Linked DNA regions of Nothobranchius furzeri. The protein of the gene in region 2 purifies or fractionates together with the protein of the main gene of each other region. This does not show direct contact. Links are inferred from orthologs where the notes say so. Each region holds a gene or a part of one and is shown on either strand. Other genes may lie near its edges.

Region 1 (3,654 bases), on a different chromosome or scaffold from region 2:
GTCCATGAGAGAAACTAGCGGTGAAATGACCAAAGTGATGCATTTGGATCTCTGAGCGTACAGGTACGCCGGCAGCTGGTAACACAACGATTTACCCATTCCAGTGGATAACAGCACAAGGGTGGAGAAGCCTGGAGGTGAAGAACACACCAGCTTAGCCATATCCAGATGTGTGCAGATGTAATAGATTACTCTGTACCTGACAGGATCCTCATGATGGCCTTCTCTTGTCCAGGTCTAAAGGACTGATAGCCAAGCTCTCTTAAAGCAGCAAACACCTCATCGGGTGCTCCTGAACGCAAACAGAAAAGGTTAAAGGTCATATTTTATGTTTTTTTTTACGGGTTTAAATGCAGCGTTTACCCCGAACTTTTCCGTCAGCTGTGAGATGATAAAGTGGCTCCATGGGGGGCGGAGCAGGAGGCCGCTCGTAGTCGGGGCGAATCACATTCAGCAACACATCATCCCGAGTGCCGGTGTCCACTTCCTGTTGCTCCTTATCAACACTGTAGGACGTTGCTGCAATAGTTGTTTGTTATTTAGCAGAAATACGGAAAAGCTACATAATACGTCTCTGACTCCAACCTCACATCCTCGGTTTGCTTGTAAATCCCGGCAGAGTCTCACCTGGACACCAAAAGATGCCTGATTGAGTTGTGAACTACAAGCTTGAACTGGAAAAGGGTAGAACGTTCATGTTTACGCATTTGGCAGACGCTTTTGTCCAAAGCGACTCACAGGCGATCATGAAGCCATCAAACACTATTCAGTCAATCCTAGGCGGCAGCGTAATCAATCACAGAGGGGAGCGAACATGGAGTGTGCATTAGAGTGAGGGACGGGTGCTGGGAGGGTGCTAGTTTAGAAGATGCTCTGTGAAGAGCAGGGTCTTCAGGAGATTCTTAAAAGTGGACAAGGAAGCCCCTGTTCTAATACACACATCTGTGGAACGATACATGAAAAGAGTCGGGATTGTCCTGAGGGTGGTGTAGGCACTGCTGTCCAACGATCCTTCCATGGCCGGAGCGGCCGGGCTGAGACGTAAGCCTTTGCAGGAGGATTCAGGTGGATGGGAGCCGTACCACCCAGGACTTTGTATGCTAGTGTTAGCGATTTGAATTTGATGGTAAATGACCTTATTTGGTATAGCGCCTTCTAGAGTGCTGGAACCCCCCCGAGGCGTAGAGCCCTGCACGGGCCTAAAATCTGAGCCCGCGTCCGGCCCGGCCCGAGGGGGTGGAGCCCCAGCCCGACCCGGTCCGAAAAGGTTTTCAGGAATATCTGGCCCGACCCGAGCCCGACTTTTTTTTTTAACCTTTCATAAAGTTTTAGCGTGATAGAATGCTCCGCATTCTAATTATCTGTGAGAAGTATTCTGAAATGAAGAAAAAAGAAAAGAAAAGAAAGAAAAACAGCATCAATGCAGCTTTTTTTCCTAACAGAGCGTATTTTTCCAGCGGCAGATGAAATTTACGAACACCATATTAATTGGATGCGTTTGTAAATTTTATCTGCTCTGAAAATGCGCTCTTGTGCAATTAGAAAAAAAAAGCAGCATTCTAATTTTCTAACTGCAGAGCGCATTTTCTGAGCGGCAGATTATAATAAACGTTCCCAATTAATAAAGCGTCTGTAAATTTTATCTGCCGCTCTGAAAATGCGCTCCCCAGTTAGAAAAAACCAGCAATGAATGCTGTATTTTTTTTTAACTGCAGAGCGAATTTATTCACAGAAAAATAGAACGCTGCCGTTTTCATGAGAATAAACGGTTTCTGACATCAAAGTGGACATAAAATGGCATTTTAGAATAGGGGCACATGTTTCAATCAGCTGTTTGAGAATTTGTTTGTATAGGCGCATTTATGAACCACACACACCTTAACTGAGCTAACGGTGCGTGAGAAGCAGGCAGGTGCTGCTGCGTTCAAGTGTTTCAGTTTTTTTTTAATGAATTTGATTAAAAATAAAGGCGCCCGGCCCGGCCCGTGTCCGAGGTAATTACACAGTTGTCGGCCCCTAGGGCTTCAGTGCAGGGCTCTACCAAGGCGCTTTACAACACAACCAGTCATTCACTCATTCATACACTGGTGGTGATGAGCTACGATGTAGCCACAGCTGCTCTGGGGCGCACTGACAGAGGCGAGGCTGCCAAGCACTGGCGCCACCGGTCCCTCCGACCACCACCAGCAGGCAAGGTGGGTTAAGTGTCTTGCCCGAGGACACAACAACAGCGACAGACTGAGCGGGGCTCGAACCTGCAACCTTCCGATTACGGGGCGAGGACTTAACTCCTGTGCCACCGTCGCCCCACCGAATTTTATGTGTGCAGCTACCTGACACGCCTTCTCCAGGTCAGGAAAGAGGTCCGGCCCCACGTGGAGGAGTTTAAGTATCTCGGGGTCTTGTTCACAAGTGAGGGAAAGCTGGAGCGTGAGATCGACAGGCGGACTGGTCTGCAGCGATGCGGGCGTTGTACCGGTCTGTCGTGGTGAAGAGAGAGTTGAGCCGGAAGGCAAAGCCCTCGGTTTACCGGTCGATCTGCGTTCCTACCCTCACCTGTCGTCATGAGTAACCGAAAGAATGAGATCACGGATCCAGACTCCCCCCGAGCTTGAGGTCTGTGGTCTCCAACAAAAAGCAGCTGAAAACTCAGCTGCTCAGGCTGGCCTTCGTCATCACCTTCTCCTTATTCTGCTCTTTCTACCCATTCGGCAATTTCCCGGGATCCTCCGACTGACCTCTTTCCTATTCATGTTCTCTCTCCCTTTCCTTACATTTTAATCACAATTTTTATTTTTTGTCATTTTAAATATATTTTTAATCAGTTTTATATTTAAATTTATTTTTTTTATAAAGCGCCTTGTGAGTTTTATCTTGAAAGGCACTATATAAAATAACGCTTTCTTTCTTTCTTTTTTTACAAGCGGCCGAAATAAGCTTGGCTGTTCTGGGTTCTCCCTTACAGATACGGTGAGAAGCTCAGTCAACCGGGAGGGGCTCAGAGTAGAGCCGCTGCTCCTCCACATCTAGAGGGGCCAGTTGAGGTGGCTCGGGCATCTGGTTAGGACGCCTCGTTGGTGAGGTTTTCTGGACATGTCCTACCTGGAGGAGACCTTATGAAAGACCCAGGACACGCTGGGGGGACTACGTTTCTCAGCTGGTCAGGGAGGGAACACCTGGAGATTTTCCCGGAGGAACTGTCCCAAATGGCTGGGGGGAGGGAAGTCTAGGCCTCCCTGCTTAGGCTGCTGCCCCCACGACCCGACCCCGGATGAGCAGAAGGGGATGGATGGATGAAAACAAACGTACCCAGTGGCTGAGGTTGTAGTGTTCCCGTCGCCCTGGCAACCTCCTCCAGGGTTGGTAGTTCAAATGATTCTTCTTCTTCTTCTTCGGATTTATCCTCCAAAACAGGAAGTTGTGGAGCTAAAAACAAAACAAGAGGACTGAGATCAAACAACATAGGTCTTGTTACTGATCTTGTGCACACGCTGTTATCCATCCAACATGAACAATTATCTCATAAATCAGCTGGTTTTCTAGTAATGTCGGTGTTGCACCAAGACCGTTTGCTGTAAATAAAACCGGTAAGTCTGTGGGAGTGCTGCTGATGCGGCGTCACCTCGTCCCCGGCACTCGACGGCCCAGTGCCCG
Region 2 (3,654 bases):
GTCCCGCTGCTGTGATGATCCGCCTCGTCAGTAGAGGAGGTTTGACCCGCCGCGTCTCCTCAGGCAGAGAGGAGCACGGAGGAGAAACCCCAGCAGGAGCCACAGACGCCGGTGGGGAACCAGGAGTGGCCCAGTGAGTTCCTGAGCGAAACGCCGGTGCTGTGCCAACAGAGTGGAGGGAAACCTGGAGTGACCTTCACCAGCGCCAAAGGGGAGGTGTTCTCGGTGCTGGAGTGGGCTCCAGGTGAGGTCACGGGTTCCTCACACGGGTGTGAAACCGTTAATCTACAGATCAACAAGAGCTCAGCTGTGTAAAGTTCACTTTCATCCGTTTCCTCACCAACAGACACTCACTCCTTTAAGAAAATGGAGTTTCAGCCGGCAGAGGCCAAGAAGTTTTTCAGCACAGTGAGGAAGGAGATGGCTCTGCTGGCAACGTCGCTGCCCGACGGCATCATGGTCAAGACCTTCGAGGACCGCATGGTGGGTTTTATCTGATCCGTACTGACACGCACGCACGCACGCACATTCACTCACGCACACGCACGCACGCACATTCACTCACGCACACGCACGCACGCACATTCACTCACGCACACACACACACATTCGCACACACACGCACACACACACACATTCACACACACACGCACACACACACACATTCACACGCACACGCACGCACGCACATTCACTCACGCACACGCACGCACGCACATTCACACACGCACACACACACATTCGCACACACACGCACACACACACACATTCACACGCACACACACGCATGCACATTCACACACGCACGCACGCACGCACGCACACACACACGCACGCACACTCACACGCACGCACGCACACACACACGCACGCACACACACGCACGCTCACACACACACACACACACACATTCACACACCCGCACGCACGCACACACACGCACACACATGCACACGCACGCACGCACGCATGCACGCACGCATGCACACACACACATGTGCACGCATGCACACGCACGCACGCACACACGCACACACACACGCACGCACGCACATTCACACACACACACGCACGCGCGCACGCACATTCGCACACACACACACACACACACGCACACGCATGCACACACCTGATGACGTAGATGTTTTTTTGTCCAATCACCAAAGATCTGTTTTGGTTTGCTTTAGAAGTGTTGCCATGACAACACACTTGTTTCTTCAGACTCATCAAACCAACAAAGTAGTTGGCCACAGTTAGGTTGTTTGGGCGGAACCAGGATGCAGCAGAACCTTCTGTTCATCTGGACCACATTCATAGACCAGATTAGGAAGCAGCCTGACGGTGCAGCCGTAGCTACAGATGTAGAGCTGGAGGATGACACAAATATAGTTTCTGGATCAGCACCGGCTCTGCTTCCGCTCGGCGTTAAGAGTGTGAGAAAACACTTGTGATTCTACTCGGGTAACCAGTGATCCACCAGCACCGGCATCTTTTGACCCCTAAAGAACAAGTGGGTGAGTTCTGCTCTTCCTGTGACACAGGACCTGTTTTCAGCTCTGATCAAAGGACCAACCAGAACCCCGTACGAGGACGGACTCTTCCTCTTCGACATCCAGCTGCCCAACATCTACCCGGCCGTGCCGCCGCTGTTCCGCTACCTGTCCCAGTGCAGCGGCCGCCTCAATCCCAACCTGTACGACAACGGCAAAGTCTGCGTCAGCCTGCTGGGAACCTGGATCGGAAAGGTGAGTGCTGTTGGGCCGTCCCAGCCAGTACTGGACCCAACCCAGTTCAACTCCCTGGTTCTGTCGTCCACAGGGGACTGAGAGGTGGACCAGCAAGTCCAGCCTGCTGCAAGTCCTCATCTCCATACAAGGTTAGACACACACACACACACACACGCACACACACACTCTCTCTCTTTCTCTCTTTTCTCTTTCTCTCTCTTTCTCTCTCTCTCTCTCTCTTTTTCTCTCTTTCTCTCTCTCTTTCTTTCTCTCTCTCTCTCTTTCTTTCTCTCTCTCTCTTTTCTCTTTCTCTCTCTCTCTCTTTCTCTCTCTCTCTTTTTCTCTCTTTCTCTCTCTCTTTTTCTCTCTTTCTTTCTCTCTCTCTCTCTTTCTTTCTCTCTCTCTCTTTTCTCTTTCTCTCTCTCTCTCTTTCTCTCTCTCTTTTCCTCTCTTTCTCTCTCTCTTTCTCTCTCTCTTTCTCTCTCTTTCTCTCACACACATACACCCACTCACACACACTCTCTCTTTCACTGTCACACTCACTCACTCACTCACTCTCACACACACACTCTCTCTCACGCTCACACACTCTCTCACTCTCTCTCTCTCTCTATCTCACACACACACACACACTCTCACACACTCTCTCACACACACACACACACACACACACACACACACACACACACACACACACACACACACACACAGCACTTCCTGGTTCTCCAGGTGTTTTAGGGTTTTTTCTGAGCCCGTGGTTCTGGCGGTTCCTCTGCAGGTCTGATCCTGGTCAACGAGCCGTACTACAACGAAGCCGGCTTCGACAGCGACCGGGGTCTGCAGGAGGGCTATGAGAACAGTCGCTGCTACAACGAGATGGCTCTCATCAAGATGGTCCAGTCCATGACGCAGCTCCTCCAGCATCCTGCGGAGGTCTTCAAGCAGGAGATCCGGGAGCACTTTGTGTCCAGCGGCTGGCGACTCGTGCACCGTCTGGAGGCGTGGCTGGAGCTGCACGACGCCGCTGAGCGAGGCCACTCGGCCTACTCCTCTTCCAGGAGCCACCACTTGAAAGACGAGCAGCAGCCTGCGGGCTCTGGACTGGTGGCTGTGGCCCACAGCAGTCCCAGTAAGCCCAGTGATGAGGCGGTGATGGGAGTTAGCAGTATTCTAGAGGAGGAGCTGGAGGATTCGGGGCTGAGTCCGTCCACCACTACAGCTCCTCAGGAGGAGCTGAGCCAGAACTCAGACGGTGACCTCACCCTGGGGGGTGAGGTCAAAGCTGGCTCTGTGGTCCGCACTGGGACGTCAGATTCTGGTTCCGTGTCCGCCAGCGTGGGGGGGGCGGGCTCCTCGGGGAGCCAGCCAGTGGTTCGACCAAAGAAAAGGAGGAAGAGTTACCGGAGTTTCCTCCCGGAGGGCAGCGGGTACCCGGACATCGGCTTCCCGCTCTTCCCGCTCTCCAAAGGGTTTGTGAAGAGCGTCCGCGGCGTGCTGCATCAGTACAAAGCCGCTCTGGCGGCCGCTGGCGTCCCAGAGCACACGGTGGACAAGTAAGTGCCTCCTCACCATCTTCTAACTGCTCCCTGACCTGTCCTCCTTCTCTTCTACCTTTTTCACCCGCCTCAAGTCACAGAGGAGGACCCATCAGCACTAGTCAGGGTGGGGTTCCAGTCTGGACCCCGCCCCGAGCTGCACGGTGCCCCAGCACTGCCCACACCTTTCCTCCACCTCCGTGTCTCCGCCTTTACTGCTCCTGCTGCCCTCCTCCGTAACATTCTGACTCCTCTCTCGATCAGCGCTGGACAGCAGCTCGGAAGCTTTGCTAATGTTTGTTTCTCTCCTTCAGTGATGACTCAGACGAGGGTGACGGATAACAGAGGTCCCCCCCCCCCCTCCCTCCCCCGCTCCACCACAGCAGGAGGAG
Region 3 (3,654 bases), on a different chromosome or scaffold from region 2:
TAACCACGTCGCGAACGTGGGATTAGCCATCCAGTTACCATTAAACTTGCACTTCCCCATGGCGCAATCTCCCACTAGCTTAACCAGCTAATGTGCTCATCTAAAAATAGCCCCCATTCACAACCAACTAAATGTGTACGGTTCCGCTTACGCAACATCATACACAAAAAATGCTGAACACTAACTAGAAATTCATGAAAATTTTATAGTAATAAAAGAATCTTGTTTATCGGGTCTTTGGTAATTTAAGACCTTTGGAAACTGTATTTAATGGTTATTTGTCATTTTTAAGGATTTTTAAGTCCTTAAATATGGAAAATGAAATTTAAGACGTTTTAAGGACCCGCGGATACCCTGCATTAACATTAAAAGAGGTGGAGATTTATCATCCATCTTTATACTTTTGATGGTTCTGATTATATCAGACTTTCTCCTCTGAGATGAAGAGTGTGACTAAGATGTGTATCATCACCCCGGTTCTGTAAGGTTCTTCTCGAGTAGCGTCGACTGGGTCTCCTCTCAAATGAGGCCGAGCGCCTCGCTTTACTGGCCTTGGTCGTCTGATACTCCGTCTTTCCACTGATCACAAAAACAAAACACAAGTTATTTTATCAAAAATCAGCAGCTACTTCCAGATTGATGACCTCCGCGGAACTTTGGACCCGTCCGCGCTTCTATTGACAACAAAACCCAGCAACCCCTGTGTTGAATCAACGTTACCGCTCGTGCTTATCCAGCTGGATATTGTTTAAACACACAGAGTGGCACAAGCTGGCTACTGAGGAACTATGTGTAGTATCTGACATGCTGCATTATCAAAGTCATTTGAGGTACCTGTATCTGAAGCGTGACCCCATGCGTATGAATCCAGACCGTGCAGAGTTCTTCTGAACCGGTCCTCTCAACCTAAAGAAGGTGTGGTGTTCTACTGCACACTTCCAGAGATGCTTGCAGGCTTTGGGGTGGTCCATCCTGAAGACGAAGGTGTGCTCCTGCTCTTTGCCCTGGGGAAGATGGATGTGGGTATAGAGCAGCATTTTATTCCCAAAGCACGACCATAAACTGAAAGGAATAACTTACGTATGCAAAACTCGTTTCCTCTTAGAGAGGAATTATTAGTAAAGAATGAAGAACAGATGCTGCTTCACTAACTAGCTTAGTACTCGTAGCCTGGTTAGAAGCCTGCCAAGCAGCACAGCTAGTTGCACAATTTGTGTTGGAGCCAATCCGGCGTCAGAGTCATCTGGTGGCTTGTTAAACGTTTGTAATTCAGAAAAACAACAAACAATTTGCGGGGAGATAAAATTGTATTTTCAGTTAAACTGTTACTTTTTATAACCTGGATAGCCTTCAAACATGTGTTTAAAAAAACTGCTAAAACTGCTTTGAAAAAAAATTTTTTTTAAATGAACACACACTGAAAGGATTACTGTTGAACAAAGCAGACGAGGTGGAGTTTGTTGAGTTTTATTGATGTCATTTTTGATCCATTAAGTAATAAATGTTCCACAAATTCAAAATGAAATGGGGAAAGAATTAACCATTTCTTACTGAAACAGCCAGTGAATGGTGTTCGTTTATTCTGGGAGACTCGACTTATCGTCATCCAAAGTAAATAACACAAGGGTAACCATTTGTTGCATGTTTGCTGAGTGTGAGCTGGTGCTCACCTGATCGTCATCTTCCACCACCACAAGGGTCAGTTTGCTCTTCTTGAAATCCAGACGGGTTATCTTGGGCCTTCGGAATAAATGAGAAACATTTTAAGTCATTTAGAGACATTAAAATTATTTATTTGAATGTGTTTATTATATTGTAGCCAAAACACACCAGAAAAATAGCCCGATCTTTGTTTGGCCTTCAAACACCAGAACTCCAGTGGGCGTCAAACCCAGACTGTACTCATTACCATCTCTGGCCTGAAATATACACAAAACAAGAATATGGATATTCCACTAAACTACTCGGATAAATCTACTTGACGACTCTTAAAATAGATACAAATGAGTCATTCTTCAAATCTCTAATTCTGAATAATGCAAATAAGAAGGGTGTTGTTTACCTTCACCATGTGCATGTCTACTCCGTACATTTCTAGCCACTTGGCTTTATTCAGGTAGTTAATCTCAGCTTGTGCGGGCATCTGGCCTCTGAGAAAAAAATAATAATTAAAAAAAAAAACAGGTAAAACACAAAAAAGAATTCAACCAACTGGAGGCATAAAAACGTAATGATACAACCATTAGACAAGAATATTAAGACTATAGAATAAAGTTTAAGGTTTTACTAATTGAGTGAAATGTTAACCTGCAATCCTTCCACGCATTATAAATGGCGAGCTCCATCTCCTCCGTCTGCTCTGGGATGAAACGAAATTCTGACACCAGGTCTAGGTTATGTTCTAGTGGGTCACAGTCACCTAGTTCAGCTGGAATAAAGCAAGAATAGAGTCAGCGTTTTAAAACCTTACATTTTATTTCATACGTAAGTTTAATTTGACATATTCTGGGTTTGTAGGACTTGTTTTAGTAAATAATGACCAATAACTAATGCATAAAATAAAATGTAAATAATAATATTCTAAATAAAAAATGTTGTAAAACAACTATAATTAAAGTTGTTTCTCTGAGTAATAATAACAGGACAAAGTTAAAAGAAGAAATTATTACAGGTCCACCCAAGTGGACAGCAGGATTTAGGAGGTTAATAATTCAAACACAAAAACTAAAATAATCAGTAACTATCATTTTAGTCAGTTTATTTTCAGCCAGTAGAAAATTGAAGAAAAGTTAATCAAATCCCTAAGCAACAAGAGTGAAATAGCTATTAAAAGATTTCACTTAAAATCTTGGCATTTGCATTTAAAATTCAACATGGCGGACTAAAGAGTCAGATTAAAACATGTCTTTGAAAGCTTATGGCCCCGAATGTAACTCTGGAGGGAAAAAATGGGAGAATGGAGGCAGAAAACAGAGAGGGTGTTGGATTAGGGGGCCTCTGAAGAGGACTGAACACTAATGAGCTGGCACTTACCCCTCATTGTGTGTGTGCATGTGTGTGTGTGTGTGTGTGTGTGTGTGTGTGTGTGTGTGTGTGTGTGTGTGTGTGTGTGTGTGTGTGTGTGTGTGTCCAAGAGTCTGTGCACGCAATCTCATTCCACAAATGTCTCCAGTGACTCAGACTCTTACAAGTGCTTCTGAAATGACTAAAATGACTCCAGCAGCTACCTTTTAGAAGAAAATTAACCATGTTGCACATTCTGGCTCTTTACGGGCTCCACTTTTACTCCATGTTTTGATCTAAAGTCCCTTTTTGCAGCAAAGTCAGTTTTACTGTAATTTTCTACCATGATCTTGTCTCAAAGTTTGATCTTGCAGGAAGAGTTTTTGTGCCTCAGGGACCACAGAGGCAATGATAACAGACTCTGGTCATAAAGAGCGATGTTCAAAAGAGTTAGTCAGTTCTCTCTGGTTCAAGAGAAGCAAGCAGAAACAAACTATCTGTACGTGGTAATTGTTATTTAGACCTTTCTTTGAATATTTTAATTATGGATGTCAGATATTATCGGCCTATATTAGCACCAAAATGTAATACTGGAAATGATCAGTATCGGTTTTCACTTTGTTAATGTCACAATATTTATTTGGTGATTCT

What was found.
Region 1: the proteins of ube2o (region 2) and recql4 purify together in Homo sapiens (affinity purification with mass spectrometry; 3 studies listed by BioGRID, with this or other methods). This does not show direct contact. The link is inferred for Nothobranchius furzeri from reciprocal best matches to the Homo sapiens genes UBE2O and RECQL4.
Region 3: the proteins of ube2o (region 2) and epb41l5 purify together in Homo sapiens (affinity purification with mass spectrometry; 3 studies listed by BioGRID and IntAct, counting the BioPlex papers as one, with this or other methods). This does not show direct contact. The link is inferred for Nothobranchius furzeri from reciprocal best matches to the Homo sapiens genes UBE2O and EPB41L5.

The regions. Positions count from the first base shown.
Region 1 is NC_091759.1:4,683,503-4,687,156, reverse strand, and holds part of recql4 (ATP-dependent DNA helicase Q4), read right to left. Parts: coding exon 3,623-3,654; intron 3,427-3,622; coding exon 3,310-3,426; intron 520-3,309; coding exon 364-519; intron 293-363; coding exon 200-292; intron 132-199; coding exon 1-131. UniProt on the Homo sapiens protein: An ATP-dependent DNA helicase which unwinds dsDNA with a 3'-overhang in a 3'-5' direction. Does not unwind more than 18 bp of dsDNA. May modulate chromosome segregation. The N-terminal domain (residues 1-54) binds DNA Y-shaped DNA better than ss- or dsDNA.
Region 2 is NC_091747.1:74,395,176-74,398,829, reverse strand, and holds part of ube2o ((E3-independent) E2 ubiquitin-conjugating enzyme), read left to right. Parts: intron 1-63; coding exon 64-244; intron 245-346; coding exon 347-483; intron 484-1,541; coding exon 1,542-1,745; intron 1,746-1,818; coding exon 1,819-1,876; intron 1,877-2,505; coding exon 2,506-3,280; coding exon of another isoform or gene 3,281-3,284; exon of another isoform or gene 3,285-3,423; intron 3,424-3,576; coding exon 3,577-3,604; 3' UTR 3,605-3,654. UniProt on the Homo sapiens protein: E2/E3 hybrid ubiquitin-protein ligase that displays both E2 and E3 ligase activities and mediates monoubiquitination of target proteins. Negatively regulates TRAF6-mediated NF-kappa-B activation independently of its E2 activity.
Region 3 is NC_091754.1:14,719,263-14,722,916, forward strand, and holds part of epb41l5 (band 4.1-like protein 5), read right to left. Parts: intron 2,429-3,654; coding exon 2,308-2,428; intron 2,151-2,307; coding exon 2,063-2,150; intron 1,920-2,062; coding exon 1,831-1,919; intron 1,741-1,830; coding exon 1,671-1,740; intron 1,005-1,670; coding exon 835-1,004; intron 580-834; coding exon 473-579; intron 1-472. UniProt on the Homo sapiens protein: Plays a role in the formation and organization of tight junctions during the establishment of polarity in epithelial cells.